Linked DNA regions of Nothobranchius furzeri. Each later gene encodes a partner of the first gene's protein in a complex. Links are inferred from orthologs where the notes say so. Each region holds a gene or a part of one and is shown on either strand. Other genes may lie near its edges. The genes, in order: cnot2 and cnot6l.

Region 1 (12,377 bases):
TCCTCAGTTTTTTTTATAAAAGCAAACAAGGCTGCTGCTTTTTGTTGATGAGAACGAGGATGAAAAACACTTCGCTTATATATCAAAACACAGTAAACCAAACAAAGCTGGGTAAAAGGAATAAATACACTCAACAAAAATATAAATGCAACACCTTTGTTTCTGCTCCGATTTTTCATGAGATGGACTTAAAGATCTAAAATTCATTCCAGGTACATAATATCACCATTTCTCTCAAATATTTTTCACAAATCAGTCTAAATGTGTGATAGTGAGCGCTTCTGCTTTGCTGAGATAATCCATCCCACCTCACAGGTGTGCCACATCAAGATGCTGATCTGACATCATGAGTAGTGCACAGGTGTACCTTATACTGCCCACAATAAAAGGCCACCCTGGAATGTGCAGTTTTTTTGCTTTATTGGGGGTCTGGGGACTCAGAACCGGTCAGTATCTGGTGTTACCACCATTTGCCTCATGCAGTGCAACACATCTTCTTCGCATAGAGTTTATCAGATTGTCAATTGTGGCCTGTGGAATGTTGGTCCACTCCTCTTCAATGGCTGTGCGAAGTTGTTGGATATTAGCGGGAACTGGTACACGCTGTCGTATACGCCTGTCAAGCACATCCCAAACATGCTCAACGGGTGACATGTCCGGTGAGTATGCTGGCCATGCAAGAACTGGGACATTTTCAGCTTACAAGAATTGTGTACAGATCCTTGCAACATGGGGCCGTGCATTATCTTGCTGAAACATGAGGTGATGTTCATGGATGTACGGCACAACAATGGGCCTCCGGATCTCATCACGGTATCTCTGTGCATTCAAAATGCCTTCAATAAAACGCACCTGTGTTCTTCATCCATAACAGATACCTTCCCATACCATAACCCCACCACCAACATGGGCCACTCGATCCACAGCATTAACATCAGCAAAGCACTCACCCACACTACGCCACACATGCTGTCTGCCATCTGCCCTGAACAATATAAACCGAGATTCATCCGTGAAGAGATCACCTCTCCAACATGCCAGACGCCATCGAATGTGAGCATTTGCCCACTCAAGTCTGTTACGGCGACGAGCATGAATCAGGTAATGATCCCGATGAGGACGACGAGCATGCAGTTGAGCATCCCTGAGACGGTTTCTGACAGTTTGTGCAGAAATTGTTTGGTTATGCAAACCAATTATTTCAGCAGCTGTCTGAGTGGCTGGTCTCATACGATCTTTGAGGAGAACCTGCTGGACGTGGAGGTCCTGGGCTGGTGTGGTTACACGTCGTCTGCAGTTGTGAGGCCGGTTGGATGTACTGCCATATTTTCTGAAACACCTTTTGAGATGGCTTATGGTGGAGAAATGAACATTCAATGCACGAGCAACAGGTCTGGTTGACATTCCTGCTGTCAGCGTGCCAATTGCACGCTCCCTCAATGCTTGTGGCATCTGTGGCATTTTGCTGTGAGACAAAACTACACATTCCAGGGTGGCCTTTTATTGTGGGCAGTATAAGGTACACCTGTGCACTACTCATGATGTCAGATCAGCATCTTGATGTGTCACACCTGTGAGGTGGGATGGATTATCTCAGCAAAGCACAGATGCTCACTATCACACATTTAGACTGATTTGTGAACAATGTTTGAGAGAAATGGTAATATTGTGTATCTGGAATGAATTTTAGATCTTTAAGTCCATCTCATGAAAAATCGGAGCAGAAACAAAGGTGTTGCGTTTATTTTTATTTTTATGAGCGTACAAAAATGATTCTTTTTAAATCCTTAAACTTAAAGATAAAGAAAAAACAGATTCTTGCTTTTAATGTATTTTCTTGGCTTTTGTTAAAACGTCTCAGATGGCATCCTGCTGAATGGCACTTACTCCTGTTATAGCCTTTTGCTGGTACACAGGGGAGCCACAGCACTGCATTCATTATCTATTTCAAACCAAAAGCTTTTGGTGATGATATTAAGGCCCATTAGTGGTCTTTATTCAAAACCATACCCCTCATTTATCAGATGAATTATGCATTTGTCTGGATAAGGAGTGCACTCGGTGACTTGGGCCATCCATCACTGGTATTAAAAACCTAACTGTTTTTAGCCTCGGCAGGTGCTGCAGCTGTTTCAGACTCTGAAGACTTGAAACTCCTTTAGTCTCATTCTCATCTCCGCAAAAGGAGACGTGAGCTGAGATCATGTCGCTGGGGTCTTTTTCTCTATGATGATGGAAGGAACAAGGCTCAAAAGAGTGTGAACGAGTCCTGAAAACACTTTACTGAGTTTATTAACTACAACACAAACTTGCTTTTACAAATTTTCATAATACTTGCAAAATAATGTCAAATACTTTGAGAAATCTGTCCTGCACCTGCTGCGTTCTGTCTTCACTAACGCTACACCGCGACTGTTTCCTGTCCAGGACGCCACTGAAGTGACGGACTTCATCATTTGGCTCTTAGTCATTCTGCTTCTCCTCAGATTGGACATCTACCACCTCATCTGTGATCTCACTCACTGCTTTAGTCGCATCGTCTTCCAGGTCATCATCTGAGCTGTCGGCCCAGCGCCCGACCCTCCTGACCCCGTCGCCCACCGTCGGGGCATTAATGCAGGGGTTGTGGTCGTATATGATAAGTTTTAAGCCGCTCATGTGGGACAGGCTTGGAAACTGGCGTATTCTGTTTCGGTCCACATCAATAACAGCCAGAAAGTGCATTTCTAGTAATACTGGCGGAAACTCTGTCAGGAGGTTCCCAGCAAGCCAGATACTTCGCAGTTCCTCCAGCTGTTGTATATTGTTTGGCAGCATGCGGATCTGGTTATAACCGAGGTGAAGGGTCTTCAGATTCGTGAGCTCACAAACAACCTCAGGGAAATCGGTGAAGCAGTTTGTCTCCAGCCACAGAGTCGTAAGTTCCCTGAGCTCACTCAGTTGTTTGGGAAGATAGTGCAGCTTGTTGTTGCCCAGGTAGAGGATGCTGAGCTGGGGCAACCTGCATACAGCTGCTGGGAGCTCCTCGAAACAGTTGAAGTCAAGAGCCAGGAGCTGCAGCTTCCTCAGGCCCTGCAGCTCAGCAGGCAAGCTGCTCAGGTTGTTGTCACTCAGGTAGAGCTTCACCAGCTCATCGAAGACACAAGCAGCAGCAGGCAGCTGGCGCAGCTGGTGGCTGCTCAGATCCAGAGTTCGGTCCAGCGGCATCTCTTTCAGATGGCCCACCAGGAAGCGCTGACAGCGTTCGGAGGGAATGAAGGCGATGACGCCCCGCACGGCGTTTCCCATCCTTCCCAGTTCCCTTCACACACAACTTTACAGGAGTGTGAGACAAACGCACCCGATCAAGCTGTTGGAGGCTTTATGTGAGTTTCATAGTGAGCCATTAATCCGTCTCCACATTCAGTCTATTTCTATCAAAGTAAAAGAAACAAAGAAAAAAAGGAAATTAGCAACACTTCACAACTTTTATTATCCATCCATCCATTTTCTTTTCCCACTTATCCACGCAGGGTCGCTGGAGGACTGGTGCCTATCTCCAGCTGTCTTTGTGCAAACAGGCGGGGTACACCCTAGACAGGCTGCCAGTCCATCACAGAGAAACATAGACACACACACACACACACACACACACACACACACACACACACACACACACACACACACACACACACACACACACACACACACACACACACACACACACACCTACGGACAACTTAAAGAGACCAATCAACCTGGAGAGGTCTCACGCTTGCACAGGGAGAACATGCAAACTCCTTGCAGCGAGACCAAGGCAGCAGCACTAACCACTGCACCACTGTGCAGCAAAACTTTTATTATTTCTATATTAATTTTAGTAACAAAACTACATAAATAAAATAATTTGGTACAGTTTTGATGTGATTAAAATCTGATTAAATCCTTTTTGAGTTAAGGTTTTTAAATTATTATAGAAATATTTTATTTAAGAAGAAAAAAAGAAATGGAAAACCTACTTTCCAGGATCTTTCTGTTCATATCCGTGCCTCTCAGCATCTCCAGCAGTCATTTATTGTTTATTGTACTTAATGGGCTGAATGCATATTGTCCTCCCGGAGCAGACACTCCCTGGTGGTGTCCTCTGCTATCTCTCAGTGGTGTGGAGCTCTGCCCTGACTTTCATGGCAACCACCAGCTCTCTCCTCCCCATTTGTGCCTAATGACTTTCCCCCCTTCTCCAGAATGACACAAGTGGTGGAGAGAGATGAGGAGGGGCCCTGTGCTTTTCAACAGAAATGCCATAAAATGAAGCTAATGTAATTTATGTTCTGCACGGATCAGAGTGAATTCACTTCCGAGTTTGTGCTCCTGCCTGTTTGATGAGCTTACTTTGCTTTTGGTGACTCTTTGAGTGCCAGAAAACATTTAGCAAAGAAAACAAAGGTGGATTTTTGTTTGAATTTGAGTTTTATCACAAACAATTTGTATTCATTAATAAATTATATTGATTCTGATCATTTGAGACATTTTGAAAACCTGCCAAATGCTGATAATGTGCATTTCTCTGGTTGAGAGGCTCAACGTCAGTTGAAGGTTTTTTCTTCTTCTTTCTTCTTCTGAGAGTAACAGCTCATCGTGTGTCGTCGTGCATGTCAGCCCTGCCTTCCTGAGGTGTGATCTGCTCATGCAATCTCACACACTTTCATTAGGGCTATTTTCCAGCAAGATAAAATGGAAAGGAATTTCATTTTCCTTATCAGAGAGGCCAATACTTGACCCCATCTGCTTTCACTCACCGGCACCCTGCTTATAGCACTTCCCTGCTTCCACTTAATCCCCAAAAGGCTTCCCATAATAACTCAGTGGGAGGACCAAACTGAACTTTATCCACTCAGGAAAACCATTTAATGCAGTTAAGTTAGTTATGACCATACTTTTGTTCTCATTTACCAACAGGGAGTTTGGTGCAGTAGTCACTTCAGCCCGCTTTGCATGCTTTTTCATTTATAATTACAACTATACTGCATGAGTACCACATTTAAATGTTGCACATCAGACTGTTATATATATATGATATTTTAAGATCATTCCAGTACAAATATATTATATTAATGGCATTTCTCCTCAAATTACTGTTAAAATACATATTTTAAACCTTTTTTTGTGAAACGTGCAACTTCTGTAAACACCAGGAATCATCAACATCTACAACTGAAAGATAATTCTGTTTCTAACCCTAATTAGATGTTAATTTCCTGCAACAATGCTTGCGTTTTTAACATAATAAGGCTTTATTAATTTGGGCGAATTAGAAAAGCATAAAATCTATGATTAAACAAATGTCTAAAAGGCCTGTAAATCTTCCTTAATTTTTTTTTCAATTCAATTCTTTATTTCACTCAAAGTTTAAATATACAAAATATACAAACTTCAAATCAGAATATAAGCATTCAAGTGAAATAATTTAATAATAACCTTTCTTTATTCTTTATTTATACTTACATAAGGTGTAATACTTTGAGGTGTTTAGAGTTTATCTGATTTAATTATTTGGCAAAACAATGAATTAATACATTATATAGTGTTTTAGAGACGTTCTTGTTCAGAACTATGCAGCTCTTTTATTGTCCAAAGTGGGAGTGAGGTAATAAACTATTAGTTCAACAGTAATGATTTTTACTGCATTTAACAACAAAAATAAATTAGTTTTTAGGGGGAAAAATTGTCAACAAGCAGCTGAGAATTATTAGGGCAAAAAAGACTAAAACTCAGAGTTGTTCAGATATAAAACACAATTCTCAAATAATGTAGTTTATAATGTTTAGTTCAAGTATCTGTTTAAATAATAGATTTATAAACCAAAGGATGGGAAAAAGGCCAAGAGGGAGAAACTTCTTCTTTCCCTATATGTGTGAGTGAGGATTTAATGAGACTTCAGGGTAAAAGAAACCTTTCTTTTCTTTTATAACTGATTACATTTTTGGTCAAAATGAGTCAAATGCAATTAAATTACAAACACGTGCAATTTTGCAAGAAGGTGAAAAAGGAATACCGATAATCACACATAATTTTATTACAGATGGCTCTATTTGTTAATTTTTTTTTACTTTATATGCTATTTTAAAGGTTAAATTAACATTTCACTCTAATTGTAACAGAAAACACATCACAGTCAAATCCAGTATTTGTATTTTTTTCTTTTTTTCCCTGTAAAATCTTCATCATTATTAGAATATTTGTGATTTTAGATGCGATCGCTCGTTGAAGACATAGATATATATAAACGTATGTTCATTTACATGTGTATGGTTGAGGACACCAGCAGCCGGCTCGGGTTTGTGTACGGAAGTGGTCAGCAGGGTCAGAGGGTAAAGGCTCTTTCCACTGGAAGTACACACAGCCATCTTGGATCTAACGAAGCGAAGGGAAATTGATGCGGTGAGCCTATTTTACTTATTATCAGTCTTGTCGGATGGTGTTGTATAAACGTGACCTCTCGACTGGAGCTTTGAGCTGGGTTTCTCTCGTTTTGATCCGTGGCAGCTCGTTAGCCTTTAGCATCAGCGGGTTGCTAACGCTGCAGGTGCTTGCAAACGGAGCGTAGCCGATAACACGGACAACTGACTGTAGATATAGAAACACAGAGACTATTGCAGGTAAATACAGACTGCTGCTGGATCGTTAAATCGTGGTGATTTGTAACGTAAACGCTTCCACTATTCTCACGGTTAAAGTGGCTCGTTCACAAACTGAAACTAAGCTAACAAAACACCTAGCATGTTAACGTTAGCTACTTAGTTTCGGCTAACTAACATGTTAGCATTGCTGTTATAGTTTTCACTCCCACTAAGTTTTCATGAATATTACAACAAATTCAGCTGTCAAATGAAAGTTAATAACCACCTGGGCTAAAAACTAAACTATTGTTTAATTTCTCCAACATTTATATATGTCAGTGTTTTTCAAATGTCATCTATGTAATAAATTAGATTTGAGGACAATTTCGTAAACCTTTCTGAATTTTCTTATTGAACATTAATTGCTTTTTCACTCATAATCCACCTAGCCTTATTGAGTCGGCGTAGTTGATCACTTTCCGTTAATTATTGTTTGTTTTTGAGCCACATCTGTCTCCGTGTCCCATCAAAACGAAACAGTTTTCTATATTTTGTATTTAAGATCTTCAAAAATGATCAAGATGGCAGTTTAAATTTATATTTGAATTCCTCCTAAGCGATTCCCAGCCTCCTATTAGTTGAAAAGTTCTTATTTATAAAAAGACGTGACTTTTGGACGTTAGTTATCAGGTGTAGATTTTAAGCCTTGAGATTTATTTCTACTCAGCTTCTCTTGTTTTTTAGTGTAATGGTCATGTAAGAAAAAAAATACTGGGAAAAATAATAAAAATCTAAAGCCAAACTTTGAAAAACTTCACAAAAAGTTGAAAGACTGTTCTTCAAAAGCACATGTAAAAGGTTAATGGAAAGTCTGCCACAGCCTAACAGGAAACATACTTGTTTTGTGGTGGTTTCTGCTTAAAATTAATTTTCTGTTTGTTTTGTGATGTTGTGATTTGAAAACCTAAGTGTGTCTGAAAAGCTGAGTATTATTTACCACAGTCTTCTGGGCTGGAGCAGCGCCCAAGTTGCCGTGGCTTGCCAGAGAAAGAGATCGACAAACAGGGCTCAGGAATATCTTAAAAAATGAGTTTGAGAAGTTAATCTGGCCTCCAAACTCCAGTTGTTAATTCGATGATCTTGTCTCATTTATTTTGCCCCCTTTAGTCTCCACCTTTACTAAAGTTCCCTCATTCTTTAGGTGACAAAAGGCATGTTTGGTGCTAGAAAGAAATTTCCAGAGTTCGTCGAGGCCGTCGACAATGACTTCCCAGATGAAATGTATTACAGCCAGGGGTCGATGTTCCCACATCGATCCGACAAAGATGTAAGTCTCGTCATATTTCTGTGTGGTCATGTTATCTGATGGGGAGTTTTTCTGATTATTTTTCTTGTTTGTGAATCTTATTGTCCAGATACTGTCTTCTCCTTCACCGTCGTCTGGTCAGCTGTCACAGCTCGGTCCAAGTTTGTACGGTCCACAAAGTTAGTATTTGCTGTTCTATTTGTACCACAGAATGAACTAGTTTCACATTTGTTACAGATCAGTAGTAGACGTGGACTGATCATACAATGCAAAGAATTCTGTCTGGATTATTTAATATTATTTTGGATTAACTTGGTTCTTTTTTTTGTCCAGGTGCAATTGGCTTCCCCGTTAGAAGCTTGGGAAACAGCACACCTCAGTTAAACCGAAATCTCACGCAAGGGTCGCAGCTACCAAGTCATATCACCCCAACAACAGGCGTCCCCACCATGTCACTCCATACCCCGCCGTCGCCGAGCAGGTTTGTGTTTCTGCTACTAATAATTGTAAAATTGCAACAAAATGTTCATTCTTAAATGTGTTTTTGCAGAGGCACGTTACCGATGAGTTCCAGGAACATACTAAATCACTCTCAGGTTGGTCAAGGCATCGGGCTGAGCAGCAGGACCAATAGTATGAGCAGCTCAGGACTCGGGAGCCCCAACCGCAGCTCACCTAGCATCATCTGTATGCCCAAACAGCAGCCGTCACGTCAGCTGTGCACCATAAGCAGGTAGATTTTAAAATCCTTACGTTTATCAACATCCCTCTGTGGACACCGGCTGAAGAACCGGTCTTTTATCTTCTCCGTGCAGCATGTCAGGGTTTGGTATGAACCGCAATCAGGCGTTTGGGATGAACAACGCGTTAGCAAGCAACATCTTCAACGGCACAGGTGGGTAGTTTCTTTTGAATTTCGAAAGGCTGCAAAGTGTCACGGAGCTTCATGTTGCAGTGGAGTTAGTGAACAACTGCTGGCTCTGCAGTAGAATGTGTTTATGTTAAAGTCTGGTTTTAAATCTGAGCAGCACAAAAATGAAAACAAAAGAATAAATGTATGCATTTTATCAATCTTAAAGACAAAATGTATGGTTTTTATTTGCTGCAGTAGCGATTAGTACGTATTACTATAGAGAGTGTGTTAACATGCTGTTGCAGATGGGAGCGACAGCGTGATGGGACTGGATCTGTCAGACTTCCCCGCATTAGCAGACAGGAGTCGACGGGAAGGGACGGGAAATCCAACACCGGTGTCCAACCCGCTAGCTGGACGTGCTCCATACGGTAAGCCAATTATCCCCTAAAGATTTGTCATCTCAGCAGTGGAACTAGTTGCTTCTGTTGGAGTTGTGCTGTCACTTATGTGACTGTTTTACTCTGGGAAATCGTTAAGTTGGCATGGTGACAAAGCCATCAACTGAACAGACACAAGATTTCTCCATCCATAACGAGGACTTTCCTGCGCTGCCTGGGTCGAACTATAAGGACACCACACTGAACAACGACGACAGTAAAACTGTAAGTGAGCATTCTCGTTTCTGCGTTTGTGTCGGGGCGCCGATCAGGAACCTTTCCCGCAGAGTTTTATGTTTCTCTTCTCCGTTTTTAGAACTTGAACTCCACAAACAAGAGCACGTCCAGCACAGATGGGCCCAAGTTCCCCGGAGACAAGACGGCCTCCGCACAGAACAACAACCAGAAGAAAGGCATCAAGGTGTTACCAGATGGTGAGACTTCACAGCCAATCGTATCGCTCCAGTTCCTCTGAGACATCCCTTCTTAATCACACAGCTTGGGTGAGGCAGTTGGGCTCTCTCCCCTGTATTTTGGGTTAAATCAGTATTGGATAAGCTACTATGAGACGGTGTAATTGTTTGCTCTGCGATGTGTGCACAAATGAGTCTAGAAATAAGGATTTGGTTCCACAGTGAGTATTTGCTGTAGATCAGAGTCCATCGGTAGATGTGTGGTTTACTGAGTCTGGATGGTTCTGCCGCTGCAGGTCGGGTTACCAACATTCCCTCAGGAATGGTGACGGATCAGTTTGGGATGATCGGTCTGCTGACGTTTATACGAGCAGCGGAGACCGATCCGGGGTTGGTCCATCTGGCGCTAGGAAATGACCTCACCACGCTGGGACTCAATCTCAACTCACCAGAGTAAGAGCTGTTCCTCCACAGAAACGCTCGCCTTTAAGGTTGGTTTATGCTTGACGCGTCCGCGAGGTCCGTACGACTACGCGCGGAGAAGTTGCGTCATTTTAACAACCACGCCCCTCCACCGCGTCTCCGCACGGGTCAAGATTTCCGCAACGCGCACCTCGGAAAATTTCTAACCACGTGGACGGACGGACGCGGAAAAACATGGCGGACCGGCAAGAACTAGTATGGCAGAGGTTCGTAAATACAGACATTTGTATGATTCAGCTCTCAGAGATCACCGTGATCAACATGTTGTTAAAAATTCTTGGAGAGAAATAGCTCGCACTGTCGGAAAAGACGAGGACGCTGTTAAAAATGCTGGAATGCCATGTTGTAAACAGTAATTTTTACTTCTATGGTGTAGTATTGGATGCATGCCTAGAGCTCCACGCTGCTCCGTTCAGTTTGGGAGAATATTGGCTCACCGCAGAGACAAGCCGCATGAACCATACACGCTGCGAGTTGTGAAGCGCGTTCCATCCGCGAGCCGCATCACCGCGTGGAAAGTGAATGCGTCAAGCGTAAACCAAGCTTTGGGGGTCCAGAGCAAAGTGTTTTTGTTTTTAAGGATGTGTGCTTCTCCTGATTTTAAGCCTTCTCTCTTCAATAGAAACTTGTACCCCAAGTTTGCCTCTCCCTGGGCCTCGTCACCATGTCGACCTCAGGACATCGGTAAGACAGATTGTCAGTGCCGCTTTAACTCAAAAGGCAAACAGCGTAACTTGTACCTGTGCTTCCAGACTTCCACGTTCCTTCGGAGTATCTGACCAACATTCATATAAGGGACAAGGTGATGCACAGCTGCACGACTATAGCACTTTTACACTTTTATTAGCATTAAACTAACATTCCTTACCGTCTTGTCTCTAGTTGGCGGCGATTAAGTTGGCCCGGTATGGTGAAGACCTGCTGTTCTACCTGTACTACATGAATGGTGGCGATCTACTACAGATCCTGGCAGCAGTAGAGCTGTAAGTAGGCCTTTATTACACCGAACATCCAAAACGAGAGGGATCAGGAGATGTGATGTTCTCAGGGACTGAATCCGGATTCTCTTACTCTCCCGTCTCCAGCTTTAATCGGGACTGGAGGTACCACAAAGAGGAGCGGGTTTGGATAACAAGAGCACCCGGCATGGAGCCCACACTCAAGACCAACACCTACGAGAGGGGCACCTACTACTTCTTTGATTGTCTTAACTGGAGGAAAGTTGCCAAGGTAAGACCTGCTAAGTTGAGAGTGTTTTTTTTTTTTTGTACTGGTTGTGGATTAGTCTAAACTCTGCCCAAATCTCTCAGGAATTTCATCTGGAGTACGACAAGCTAGAAGAGAGGCCTCACGTTCCGACGACGTTCAACTACAATCCAGCCCAGCAGGCCTTCTGAGGCCCAAGCAGCTGTTCCTGCACACAGAGCTGACGCCCAGCACCGGCGCTGTGGTTTTTATTCCTCCAGGATTTGGCTGTTAGACTGCAGGGGTTGTGATCACCATTAAAGCTGTCCTGCCTTTCTGAACTTAAATTCTACCCCAAAACACTTGTTCCGTTTTTATTACTCTGTGTTTCAGGTTGTTTTGTTTTTTTTCCTTTCTCTTGTTTTGAGCAGGGTCTGTGTTTTGTTTACGTCTCTGAATCAGAAGCCTGCGTCCTCTCGGCGAGGAGGACTAACTTTGTGGCACGGGACGGGGACAGAACAGAGGTTCCACCTCTTATTTACAGCAAGTGTTAAGAACACAAGCAGGTGGAAAACAAGGCTGTTAGCATTCTCATACACAAGTGAAGGGGTGAAAGAAATGCAATGTTTATTGTTGCACTATATTTAGTAATAAAAGAACACAAAATTTTTTGTGCTTTTTTATATGAACACTCCCCGAGTGTTTTTTCTTTCCCCTTCTTTCTGTATTTCTTGAGTTTACGCATCATTCCCTCATGCAGTCCTTTTAATTCCATCTTTTTTAGCCCTCTGTCTGTATCCATCGTTTCTCCAGCGTCTGTATTTGCACTACCAACCATTTTTCTGTTCCTTCTTTCTCCGTTCGTCTCCGTCTTTTGACTTCTGTGCCGACCAAACAAGGACAGAAATACGAGAGTCTACATTTGTGGAGGATTTCTCGCCGCGGCTGAACTTTAACACCAACTTTGCTCAAGAGCAAACAAACACTTTCCAGTCTTTGTTACGATTTTGTAAGAAAAGTGTACATTTTTGTTCTTTGCATCACACAAATTAGTACATGTATGTATGAATGTGTATATATGATTGCTATATATATATA
Region 2 (12,377 bases), on another chromosome or scaffold:
CAGTTTACATCATAGCATACCTCTTAGCCAATAGCGGTGGCAGATTTAAATTCCAATGCAGTGCAGAGTTTTTACCTGACGACGGCGCAACACTGACAGTTTTAGGCAGAATATTTAAATTTTAACTAAGATACACTGAAGTACCAAATTATTGACCACATGTGTCTACAGCACAATTAGACACACATTTATATAGTTTATCAGCAAAAAAAAGTTGATTTGGGGGTGACTTGCTCTTTAATAATGAGCTTTTCAGCCTCCTGATTTTGTGGTTTTACATCATGTTCGTGTAAAACCTTGAGACAGAAAAGGGTAGAATTCCTTCTCCGGGTCAGGATGAGGTCCTGCTCCAGCGGAGGAGTTTAAGCATCTCAGACTGGACGGGTCCTATCAGAGCTATCTACGGGTTCCTGATATCAGAGTTCACTCCACCAGCAGTGACCATCGACCCCCCCCCCCGGATCGAACGAGGACCTCCACACCAAGGGTGCGTAGACTTGGCACGACAGACTGTGTTTGACGCTGTTTTAATAAACAACTCTCTAGTTTATAACAAACAACAAATTCTTTTACACCAGATTTCACAATTTCTCTCAGATACAAAGAACGGTTGCTACTAGGGGTGGGCAATATAAACGATATAAGGTAGAAACGATATAGTTTTTGGCTATATCGCAATACCGCGATATCACGATAACACATGACGTCACTAAGATGTGCACCCTGCTGACATTGGGGCAACAGAATGGCAGTGACTGCAAGCATGGAGTGGGTGGAGGAGGAGGCCTGTATGCCTCAAGTGGCATATATTTGCCACATGAGGATATTTAAAAGCATGTCACTTTGACATATATAAACAGAGGGAAAAACATATCGCAACATATATCGTTACCGCACATGCTTCAGATTATATCGCAATATAGATTTGAGGCCATATCGCCCAGCCCTAGTTGCTACAACATCTAGCTTCCACCACACCACCTCACATTATTCATATCTTGTCATGTATTAATTATTAGTTTAGGAAAAATAATTAAATTAATTTTATAAACTGCATCCTGACTCTGTCTGAATTAATACGAAGTGTGTTTATGGTCCCTGAAGAAGCAAAGAACCCTAGAATCTTCTGGTTAAACATTGGTAAATGATAAATGACCCGCACTTGTATAGAGTAAGGACTCCAAAGCGCTTTACACTACAGTGTATCATTCATCCATTCACACACACATTCACACACATTCAAAGATCAATCAGGTTGATATTTCATACTTATACGGAAAATCACATCTTATTGGTCATAATTAATATGTGTTAATTGCTACAGTTTTTTTTCATTGAAAATAATTTTAAAATGTGGGGTCTCCATATAATCAGGGTCTAACCATTACACGCCCGTAACAGCAGAGGGCGCCAGGCTGAGTATTCTCCACAGGAGTAAAAACTGGAGCCGAGAAGTCCAGAGCAGAGTAGACTTTTAGTGGGGCAAGTTAGCATACTAAGGCAGAGTAACGACGGTGGCCAGTTCAGCAGAGGTGTAAAACATCACATGCATGGATGTACTGGAAGGCAGTGAGGATGATGTTCTGGGAGGAGCCAGCAGGTGTGGGGATGTGATGGTGCACCGGGGACCGCAGCTGCATGAGAGTGTACAGCGAGGCAGAGGGCATCTGAACAAAAGCCTCATCTGACTTTTGATTTCACACGTCAGCAAAGTTCTGATAGTTAGCATTGAAATAGTATTTTTCTCAGTACATGTTCTCAAATTTTATATAAAAATAGTTTATTTAAACAGTGATTTGTTTTTTTTGTCCTTTCCTGAAGATTAGTCTTGGAAAGGGGAGTCGTCTTATATTCGTGTCACTACGGTAATAATTTTTGTGATTGTTTAGAACAGAAATTAAAATTAAAACTTAACTGAAGAACTGACCAGCTGAACGAGCTCGGCTCCTCCAACAATCGTTGCTCCGTTCTCCTGGGCAGCTGTGGCCTGCTTCGGGTCCTGCAGAGATGGAGGGAGGGGTCTTTCAACCTGGCTTAGGTGAATTATCTAAAATAATCACACTATGTGTGACACGTGGTATGAATAGAAATCATTTAATCACAACAGCAGCCGGGGGCAACACCAACAACGGACAAGGGACACGCCCAATTCATCAACAGCAGAAACACACAATCGTGTGTGTGTATATATATATATATATGTATGTATGTATAAACACACACACATATATATACATATATACATATATATATATAAATATATATAGGTATGTGTGTGTATACATACATATATATGTCTGTATATATGTATGTCTGTATATATATATATATATATATATATATATATATATATATAGGTATGTGTGTGTGTATACATACATATATATGTCTGTATAAATGTATGTCTGTATATATATATATATATATATATATATATATATATATATATATATATATATATATATATATATATACACAGACATACATTTATACAGACATATATATGTATGTATACACACACACATACCTATATATATTTATATATATATATATGTATATATGTATATATATGTGTGTGTGTTTATACATACATACATATGTATGTATACATACACACACACACACACACACACACGGCGGTTGCGAAGATGAAGTGCGGGTTGGGAGAGGAAAGTGTTTACCTCGGTGAAAACTAAAACTTTGTTGGGGTCTGTCCTGAAGGGGTGTGGTAAGTGAACGACGCTGACAAACGGGTCGACTTTTTTCTGTGGGAGACAGAAACAGGAAGGATGTTTGTTGTTGTTGTTGTTGGGAACAGTCAGCAAGCTGCAGGAAGATCAAAGCTTGGGAGGAAAACATGAAGGAGGGAACGTCAGTCAAACGCCACACTAGATAATAGCGATGCAACGATACCACTTGTTTCTAAACCGATACTTGGATCTGAGTACTCGCCGATACCGATACAGATACTTCTACCACACAAAAAAATGCAATGAATTGCAATACAGCCTTTATTTTCTTCTCTGTTTTCAATAGGAAAAGACTGTGAGGTAGATAAAAAGTAATATAAGTGATCACAAAACTAAAATATTAGGTGAACAGAAATGACAAGTTACAGTGAAGTCACTTTCAAGCAACTGCATTGGTATCAGTTACTGGTATCTGTTAACTTTTACCGATACTGCATCGGCACCGATACAGATACCGATACCAGTATCGTATCGGTGCATCCCTACTGGATAACGGTTATCTTGCAGCATTTGAAACCTGAATCTCTGTGAAATTGATGACTTCCTACATGTGGGAGCGTTGGCTCTATGGAAACCAATGAGGAGACAGAGATGCTCTCGGAGGACCGTCTGCAGCCCTGTGATGTGTCACAGCGTTTTTAGCTGACTGAACTGCTCAGCGTACAAAGACTCAGACGCCTCAGGGGTCTCATCTATAAAACGTTACTAGAATCCGTACTAAAACCGTACTTCAGCTCAGCAAAAAAAATGTACTTACGCCAAGTAGGTATGCGATCTATAAAACATGGAGTACACACAGCTGCATGCACTCTCCGCTTTCTAAATCACTCTACCTAGAAAGGTTCTTAGCTGTTTCTGAGCCACATCCCACCCTCACCACGCCCACTTTCTGCCATAAATGGTCAATGCAAAGCGTCTTGAGGATCTCATGCATATACATAAGCCGGCTCGCTGCAGCGCTCCACCATTAATGATGGCGACCGCAGATCAAGGAAGTGCTTTTCCACAGACGCAGAAGTTGAGGTACTTGTGGGTGAGGTGGAGGAATGAAAGGAAGTGCTTTTGCTAAACAAATAAGAGAAAATCCACAGAGTGGCACAGCAGTGCTGAAGCCGTCAATGTTGTGAGTTCTTCAGAGAGATCTGTGGCGGATATAAAAAAACTCTGATACGAAAACTCCAAGAAGAACCTTCGAGAAACAAAACTCATCAAAAGCTATGAAGAAAAGAGAATCTGGTCCTCCAGCAGCAGAGAACCAGAGTTCATGTAGAACAACCACAGGTGACTAAAACTTTTACCGTCACCTTTTTCTCCAGTTGCATGTCCAGCTTCAGGTTGACATAAACGGGCTGGTTGGACGGAGTGAAGTCCAACTCCTGGAACCTCTTCAGCATGTCGATGGCAGAAGCTGCACTGTGGACGCTTCTGGGATAAAACTTCTTAATGTACACATCGTCTACGGGAGCCCACGCCGTCTTCCCATAAGGCTTGTGTCTGCCTGTGTCATCGATGACCCTCCACTCTTTCTTCACCTCCTTCTTTGCATCCTCTGACTTGCGTTTCTTTAGCGCCCTGACAATCAGCAGGAGGGGAGTTAGGCCGAGGAAGGATTGGGTCATGCAGAAAAACATATGTATTCAGCAGCAAACACCGACCAGGCTGGCTTGAAGCAAAAAGAAAACACTGGATGTGAACTTACTTAAACGCAGCAAAAGTCCTGATGGGTGAACTCTTCGGTGCGGTCTGCGATGCAGCAGCATAACCCGGAGCGCTGGAACTCAGCAGCTGCCTCCGACATCCTGCTAAAGCTGGATTAAACACACAAGGGTTTATTTACATCTAATCCTGAGATTTAACCTCTGTTTCTGTGTCATCCTCCTAACATGAAACACTTCATATTCTAGCAACTTTTTACACATTTAAAAACTGCATTTCTGAGTAAGTAGCAGCTCAAATGATACAGCAGCTTCTTTGGCTGCCGTACAACGTCTTCTGTTCAAAATAAGGTGTAAATAATAAATCATCAAAGGAACAAAAGACCCCCGGGTCCTGTTTAACTTGAAGCTAAAGCTTGATGAAAGAAGGTTTGATGAGGGTGGCCGCTCGCGCACCTCTCAGAAGCTTGATGTTGGCTCTAAATTCACTCCAACAGCTGAAAAATGCCCTCAAAAATGGACATTTAGGCTCGATTTAAAGTTTTCAAGGTAGCTTCTTGGTTTAAGACCAAGACTACTACCAATCACAGCTTTCTTTTAACATGTAAACAAGTTTTAATTAATTAAAACCTTATAAACGGGTCTAATCTGGACCAGTTTGTTCCATACTGGGTCACCCACTGGATGCAGCTGAGGAGAGGTGTGAAAGGAGGATGCTGGGGAAGATGACCTCCCCCTTAAAAAGCCCCTCCCCGCCCCCACTGTGGAGACCATGGACAGCTCCTTTACAGGCATCCCAGATGTAGAACTGAACGCTACCGTAGGTCATTCATCCCCTCAGCAGCAAGTGTAGGATTCCCCAGTTTAACTGGTACTGGCATTATCCTGGTACACAACACCACCAATGCAATACTCAGTGTGTGTGTTCAATACCAGATGTACGCAGTACGTTCGTGTCTCTTACTGTACGCTGCATAGTTCTGGAAACACATGTTTCCTTTATTTGTTGTTTTTAGTGGTTGGAGGTTACAATAATAGCAGTGGCTCCCCAAAAGGGTGGCCAGGGCCACACCGGAGGAGTAGGGTTACAGGTAACAACTGGTTTGACCATTAACCCCGGTTAACCCACCGTAAACACGTGTCCAACACCACTAAAGGTGTAAAAAGCAGCGCGAGCCGCACGGACAGAGGGGGGTTCAACCATCAGGACTCCTGTGTTTCAGACAGACACGGGAGCCTAGGTGGGATATTTGCCAAAATGATGGTAGTTACATGTGACTGACGGACAGGTGGGTAAACACAGGAGAAGACGCTAGAAAAGTTAGACTTTTTCACCTTCCTGAAAACGATGTGAGCTAAAGTTAATTAGCATAACAGAGGGGCTCCAGTTTGCAACCACACGTTGATGGAAAACATGTTTCCGTAACCTCTGTGAGCGTTTAGGCTCAGGACACACTAACCGGAAACAGATAGCAGGGCAGCTAAAACGCTAATCTACAGAAAATAACCCAACCGGAAACAAAAAAATAACATTCATGAATTTACCGTTTTTCCTGGATGAGAAACTAATTTCACTGACCTTTCCAAGCTGCCCGCGAGCAGGTTGCCATGTCTGCTTCTGGTGGTCCGTTGTCCGTGTAAAAACAGCAGTTCGCTCAATGGTTCCGCACAAACACACATATTTATTTTTAAAAGGTCGGCTCTAACTTAACCAGTTTACATTACAGGAAACCGTTTAAAAACGTTTCTAAAATCTCATCTAATGTTAAAGATTCACTGATTTAAATGATCGAGTTCAGTATTTGTTTTAAGGTGTGATTAGAAGTAAATGTTGATGTTAAAATCGTGTAAAGTGGCAAAATGAATGAATTGCAAGCATAAGATAAACAAATAAAAATAATGCCGAATCTCTGGTTTTTGCATCGGGTTTTTGTCAAATAAAGTGACGTCAGCTACACGTCACAGATGACGAGTTTAACCAGCTAGCACGTGTCCTTCACATGTTTAGTATCAAACTTTAGCGTAATATGTGTCACTTATTAACAATTAATAAATGAGCATATTTGTAAAGTTTCGTTTGGGATTTATGCTAAGAAGCTAGTAGGCGCGTGCACGACCGCGCTCTGGACTGTCGGTAACGAGCGGAAGCCGCGTTTGTTGTTCTTCCTTCTGTTTCCGAGACGTTCAGGGTTGAACCCGCGCCTGCATGTCGCTGCCAGTTCCCTTCTACAGCCCCCGGATGAAGGTAAACACGTTTTGTATCTAGAGCCGGTTCGCCCGGGCGGCTCGGCGCTAAACCAGCTTAGAGCCCGACTCGGTCCTTGTCCGGTCGTGTCCCCCACCCTAAGCCCCTGGAGCCCGGGGAGCATGCGCCCAGCCGCCGCTGGCTGACTTACTCCAGCCCCGTGCTTCGGGAGCGCTGGTCGGTTACCGTGACCGGTCTTTGCTGCATAGGTAAATGTGTCGCTGACATCCGTGGAAGGTGTCGAATCGGAGCGCGTGTTTACCTTGGTGTCAGGTGTGCCAGCAGCTGGTGAGCGGGCCTGTCCTCTTGTCACTTTTGACACCACAGCTATGTTTGGACACTCGTCCCTCAGCTGCCTGAGCAGTTGTCACTGCTGCATACTTTCCAACACACACACACACACACACACACACACACACACACACACACACACACACACACACACACACACACACACACACACACACACACACACACGGCCCTCTTTCAGCTCCTGAGGCAACATGACCTGTTGGAGTTGTGATGGTGTCTGCAGACACTTGTGACCTGCTGCGCCTGAACCCACCTCACCCAAAGGCCCTGAACGTATTTGCTGTAACTCACCATTCTGAAGTAATCAGGCTGTAGATCCACAGGAACGTTTAAAGATGAGGTTCTACGACGATCATCCTACAAGTGCAGGAAGTCCTCTGGATGACTTTTCTTTATGTGGATAACTTCTGATTAAAACTGTAATCACTGATCAAATGTTCTGCTGGTTTGTTCTGGTTTCAGTGGTTTTGTTGCTCCTCAGCAGGTGAAACCTCCTGAGAAAAATGAGCAGTTTGCTTCCGTCATCATTAACTAAAAAACGCCTCGAGCTTTTTTTTAAACCTTTGAGTTTCTTATAAATTGTTCTTCTCTTGTTTTCCACATTTTTTTAGTGCTTGAAATAAAAGTTGGTGTTTTCTTTTACGATTGCCACGATAACTCGTGCTCCTGGTTTGTCCTGCAGATTAACAGGAATGCCAAAGGAGAAATATGACCCCCTAGATCCCCGCAGATGTTACACCATCATGTCAGCTGAGGAGGCGGCTGGTGGGAAGAAGTCTCACTGGGCTGAGCTGGAGATCTCTGGTCAGTCTGCATTTACTTCCAGTAAAACACACTCTGGACGTTATATCCAGAGAAAGTCTTGTCCATGTTTTCAGTGTCGGGGTCAGTTTGGCCCACTGTGTTCAGAAATGTTAGTAAAATGAAGCTCCGCCACCTACACAGGAAGGGTGCGGAGCCTGAGCAGCTCGTTATGGACCCTCACCCACCTGACGGCGCTCCACATCAACGACAACAACCTGACTCGTATCCCACCGGACATCGCCAAGCTGCCCAACCTGGTCTACCTGAACCTGTCATCCAATAAGCTCCGAAGTCTGCCCGCCGAACTGGGCAACATGGTTACTCTCAGGTGGGTGGAGTTCTGACCCCTGACCTTTAACTCAGCTGCAGTGTGGGTGGGGTCGTCCGTCGTGTCCGACAGTTTCAACCGAACTGATGCTAAAGCGGTCATTTAAAACCCTGAATCAGGTGATTAAACCAGTCAGACATGAACACAGGTCAAGGGTGAGAAAGGTGAGACCCTCCCACGTGTGCGTACACACACACACACACACACACACACACACGCACGCACACACACATACGCACACACACACCTGTCTGTAAGGACGGACGTGGGGGGTGCTGCAGTGTGTGTGTGTGTGTGTGTGTCTGTGCATACATACACATAGACACACACACATGCACACACACACACACACATGCACACACACACACACATGCACAGACATACATACACACACATACGCACACATGCACATGCACACACACACATGCACAGACACACATACACACACATACGCACGCACTCACACACACATGCACAGACATACATACACACACATACGCACACATGCACATGCACACATGCACAGACACACACACACACACACACCTGTCTGTAAGGACGGACGTGGGGAGTGCTGCAGTGTGTGTCTGTGTGTGTGTCTGTGTGTCTCTGCATACATACACATAGACACACACACATGCACACACACACACATGCACAGACATACATACACACACATACGCACACATGCACATACACACACACACATGCACAGACACACATACACACACATAGACACACATACGCACGCACGCACTCACACACACATGCACAGACACACATACACACACACACACGCACGCAAACACACACATACACACACACATGCACGCGCGTGCACACACACATGCACGCACACACCCTCCCCAGCCAGCTGAGGTGGCTCGGGCGCCTGGTCAGGACGCCTCCTGGTGAGGTTTTTCGGGCATGTGTATCTAGCGGTGGGATTTGATCAGTTTTTATCAATAACAACAACCTTGTCGATTCTGTCCATCGATCCAGTTCCTTATCAATTCCAGAGAAGTTCAGTAGGTGGGCAAGTGGCTCGGGAGAGGGCAGTGTGGGCCTCCCGACTCGGGCTGCTGCCCCGCGACCCGACTCCGTATGAGCGGATGAAAATGGTTTTAAATGAACAAGTTAAAAATGATGAATAACACGTCATAAACAGATGTTTGAAGTCTGGACTCAAGTTCTGCAAGAACTTCTAAATCAGCAAAACGACATTATAATTCATGTCCTGCGTGACCCTGAACACGAGCGTTAGACGTGAAGGATGCCACCATGAGAGGTTGTTGAAGCTTCTTCTCCTTGCAGGGAATTGCTTTTGAACAACAATCTTCTACGAGTCCTGCCTTATGAACTCGGGCGGCTTTTCCAGCTCCAAACCCTCGGGCTCAAAGGTGAGACGCTCCATCAGCAGCTTAACGGTTATGGATGCTGACTTCATGGATTAGGAGGAGAACTCACCTGTTTGGTTCTGTGGCAGGAAATCCTTTGTCCCAGGACATCCTCAACATCTACCAGGAGCCCGACGGAACCAGAAAGCTTTTGAACTACATGCTCGACAATCTAGCAGGTTCTCCAGCGTTCTAAAGCTGCAGGTGTGTTCTCACAGGTAGGTCCGGATAAACGAGCTCTGATCCGTCATTGTCTTCCCTGTTTCCAGTTCACCCGGAGCAGCTCCCTCAGAGACCGTGGATCACTCTGAAAGAGCGAGACCAGATGATTCCCACAGGTGCGTTTCCATGGAAACCAACCAGCTCACCGAGCACGTTTGATGTTTTTATGCTTTTATTCTATTTTGGTTGAGAAAGCAGAAGATCCATCTCTTTAGGGGGCTGGCCTCGCTTTTAGTTCTCACAATTAAATCTGTCGTTTTCAAAAGATGAAGTCGGAAACTCGTTTGGATTCATATGAAACCCGTCTGAGTCATAAAATAAACCCGAACCGTCGGTGCTTTTCCGGAGTCATTAAGCGAGCGTTTGTGTTCCAGCGGTGTTCACGGTCATGTGCTACAACGTGCTGTGTGACAAGTACGCCACGCGGCAGCTGTACGGCTACTGTCCGTCCTGGGCCTTAAGCTGGGAGTACCGCAAGAAAGGCATCATGGAGGAAATCACCAGCTGTGACGCCGACATCATCAGCCTTCAGGTAAACACGCACAGGCTCCACCTTTTCCTCCGGACTTTCCCGTTAAACGTCCTGATGGAGATCTGCTCCTGCAGGAGGTGGAGACGGAGCAGTACTACACGCTGTTTCTGGAAACGCTACGGGACCGTGGCTACGACGGCTACTTCTGTCCCAAGTCTCGTGCCAAACTGGTTTCGGAGCAGGAGAGGAAGCACGTGGACGGCTGTGCCATCTTCTTCAAGACAGAGAAGTAAGTTCAGGAGCCTCGGAGCGCCGGGAACGCTGCATGGGAACCTGAATCTCTGATGTGGATGTGAACTCTCTGCAGGTTCTCGTTGGTGCAGAAACACACGGTGGAGTTCAATCAGGTGGCCATGGCCAACTCGGAGGGGTCAGAGGTCATGCTGAACAGAGTCATGACCAAAGACAACATCGGAGTGGCTGTTCTACTGGAGGTCAACAAGGACATGTTCTCTGCTGGTAAGGACAGGCAGTCACCGTGACAACCACCTCCAGGTGATTAAAGGACATCTCCTAATTTCCTGTTTGTGTTGTGAGGCATGAAGCCGCCGCAGGAGAGGCAGCTGATCCTGGTGGCCAACGCCCACATGCACTGGGACCCAGAGTTCTCAGACGTCAAGCTGATCCAGACCATGATGTTCCTGTCGGAGCTGAAGAGCATCGCTGAGAGAGCTTCGGACTCTGTTACGACGGGCTCGCCAACCTCCGACCCCTCCTCCATCCCCATCGTTCTGTGTGCTGACCTCAACTCGCTGCCCGACTCCGGTACAGCCGTAGGGAGTTCCGTTGCTCCTCCTACAACCAGAGCTTCTTGATTGTTGCTTTTCCAGTAAAACGCTCCTGTTCTTGGATCCAGGTGTGGTGGAGTACCTGAGCAACGGAGGAGTGGCTGAAAACCACAAGGACTTTAAGGAGCTGCGCTACAACGAGTGTCTGACCAACTTCAGCTGCAACGGCAAGAACGGGAACTCCAGCGGCAGCATCACACACAGCTTCCAGCTGAAGAGCGCCTACGACAGCAACCTGATGCCTTACACCAACTACACGTATGACTTCAAGGTACCCAACGTCCTCTTGGTTCTTCTATCTTCTCCTGGTCCTACCATGTCCATGTTCTCCTGGTTCTACCGTGTCCTCTTGGTTCTTCTACGTTCTCCTGGTTCTACCGTGCCCTCTTGGTTCTTCTACGTTCTCCTGGTTCTACCGTGCCCTCTTGGTTCTTCTACATTCCCCTGGTTCTACCGTGTCCTCTTGGTTCTTCTACATTCTCCTGGTTCTACCGTGTCCTCTTGGGTCTTCTACATTCTCCTGGTTCTACCGTGTCCTCTTGGTTCTTCTACTTTCTCCTGGTTCTACCGTGCCCTCTTGGTTCTTCTACGTTCTCCTGGTTCTACCGTGCCCTCTTGGTTCTTCTACATTCCCCTGGTTCTACCGTGTCCTCTTGGTTCTTCTACATTCTCCTGGTTCTACCGTGTCCTCTTGGTTCTTCTACATTCTCCTGGTTCTACCGTGTCCTCTTGGGTCTTCTACGTTCTCCTGGTTCTACCGTGTCCTCTTGGTTCTTCTCTATTCTCCTGGTTCTACCGTGTCCTCTTGGTTCTTCTACATTCTCCTGGTTCTACCGTGTCCTCTTGGGTCTTCTACGTTCTCCTGGTTCTACCGTGTCCTCTTGGTTCTTCTACATTTTCCTGGCTCTACCGTGTCCTCTTGGGTCTTCTACGTTCTCCTGGTTCTACCGTGTCCTCTTGGTTCTTCTACATTGCCCTAGTTCTACCGTGTCCTCTTGGTTCTTCTACGTTCTCCTGGTTCTACCGTGTCCTCTTGGTTCTTCTACGTTCCCCTGGTTCTACTGTGTTCTCTTGGTTCTTCTACATTCTCCTGGTTCTACCGTGTCCTCTTGGTTCTTCTACATTCTCCTGGTTCTACCGTGTTCTCTTGGTTCTTCTACGTTCTCCTGGTTCTACCGTGTCCTCTTGGTTCTTCTACGTTCTCCTGGTTCTACCGTGTCCTCTTGGTTCTTCTATGTTCTCCTGGTTCTACCGTGTCCTCTTGGTTCTTCTACGTTCTCCTGGTTCTACCGTGTCCTCTTGGTTCTTCTACATTCTCCTGGTTCTACCGTGTCCTCTTGGTTC

Evidence for each region.
Region 2: cnot2 (region 1) and cnot6l share a complex: the UniProt entries of both Homo sapiens proteins name them as parts of the CCR4-NOT complex. The link is inferred for Nothobranchius furzeri from reciprocal best matches to the Homo sapiens genes CNOT2 and CNOT6L.

Annotation. Positions count from the first base shown.
Region 1 is NC_091744.1:77,733,399-77,745,775, forward strand, and holds cnot2 (CCR4-NOT transcription complex subunit 2), read left to right. Parts: upstream 1-6,315; 5' UTR 6,316-6,420; intron 6,421-6,505; exon of another isoform or gene 6,506-6,638; intron 6,639-7,800; 5' UTR 7,801-7,812; coding exon 7,813-7,926; intron 7,927-8,014; coding exon 8,015-8,084; intron 8,085-8,238; coding exon 8,239-8,386; intron 8,387-8,455; coding exon 8,456-8,638; intron 8,639-8,720; coding exon 8,721-8,800; intron 8,801-9,063; coding exon 9,064-9,189; intron 9,190-9,298; coding exon 9,299-9,423; intron 9,424-9,514; coding exon 9,515-9,632; intron 9,633-9,907; coding exon 9,908-10,064; intron 10,065-10,716; coding exon 10,717-10,778; intron 10,779-10,846; coding exon 10,847-10,896; intron 10,897-10,976; coding exon 10,977-11,077; intron 11,078-11,179; coding exon 11,180-11,324; intron 11,325-11,404; coding exon 11,405-11,491; 3' UTR 11,492-11,968; downstream 11,969-12,377. Other genes in the region: lrrc10 (leucine-rich repeat-containing protein 10), read right to left, coding at 2,464-3,288. UniProt on the Homo sapiens protein: Component of the CCR4-NOT complex which is one of the major cellular mRNA deadenylases and is linked to various cellular processes including bulk mRNA degradation, miRNA-mediated repression, translational repression during translational initiation and general transcription regulation.
Region 2 is NC_091750.1:40,060,446-40,072,822, forward strand, and holds the start of cnot6l (CCR4-NOT transcription complex subunit 6-like), read left to right. Parts: upstream 1-6,520; 5' UTR 6,521-6,650; intron 6,651-7,644; 5' UTR 7,645-7,654; coding exon 7,655-7,766; intron 7,767-7,907; coding exon 7,908-8,094; intron 8,095-9,408; coding exon 9,409-9,494; intron 9,495-9,580; coding exon 9,581-9,670; intron 9,671-9,760; coding exon 9,761-9,829; intron 9,830-10,087; coding exon 10,088-10,245; intron 10,246-10,319; coding exon 10,320-10,474; intron 10,475-10,552; coding exon 10,553-10,704; intron 10,705-10,782; coding exon 10,783-11,010; intron 11,011-11,101; coding exon 11,102-11,304; intron 11,305-12,377. Other genes in the region: mrpl1 (large ribosomal subunit protein uL1m), read right to left, coding at 1,928-1,999, 2,682-2,765, 4,055-4,322, 4,450-4,558, 5,985-6,015. UniProt on the Homo sapiens protein: Has 3'-5' poly(A) exoribonuclease activity for synthetic poly(A) RNA substrate.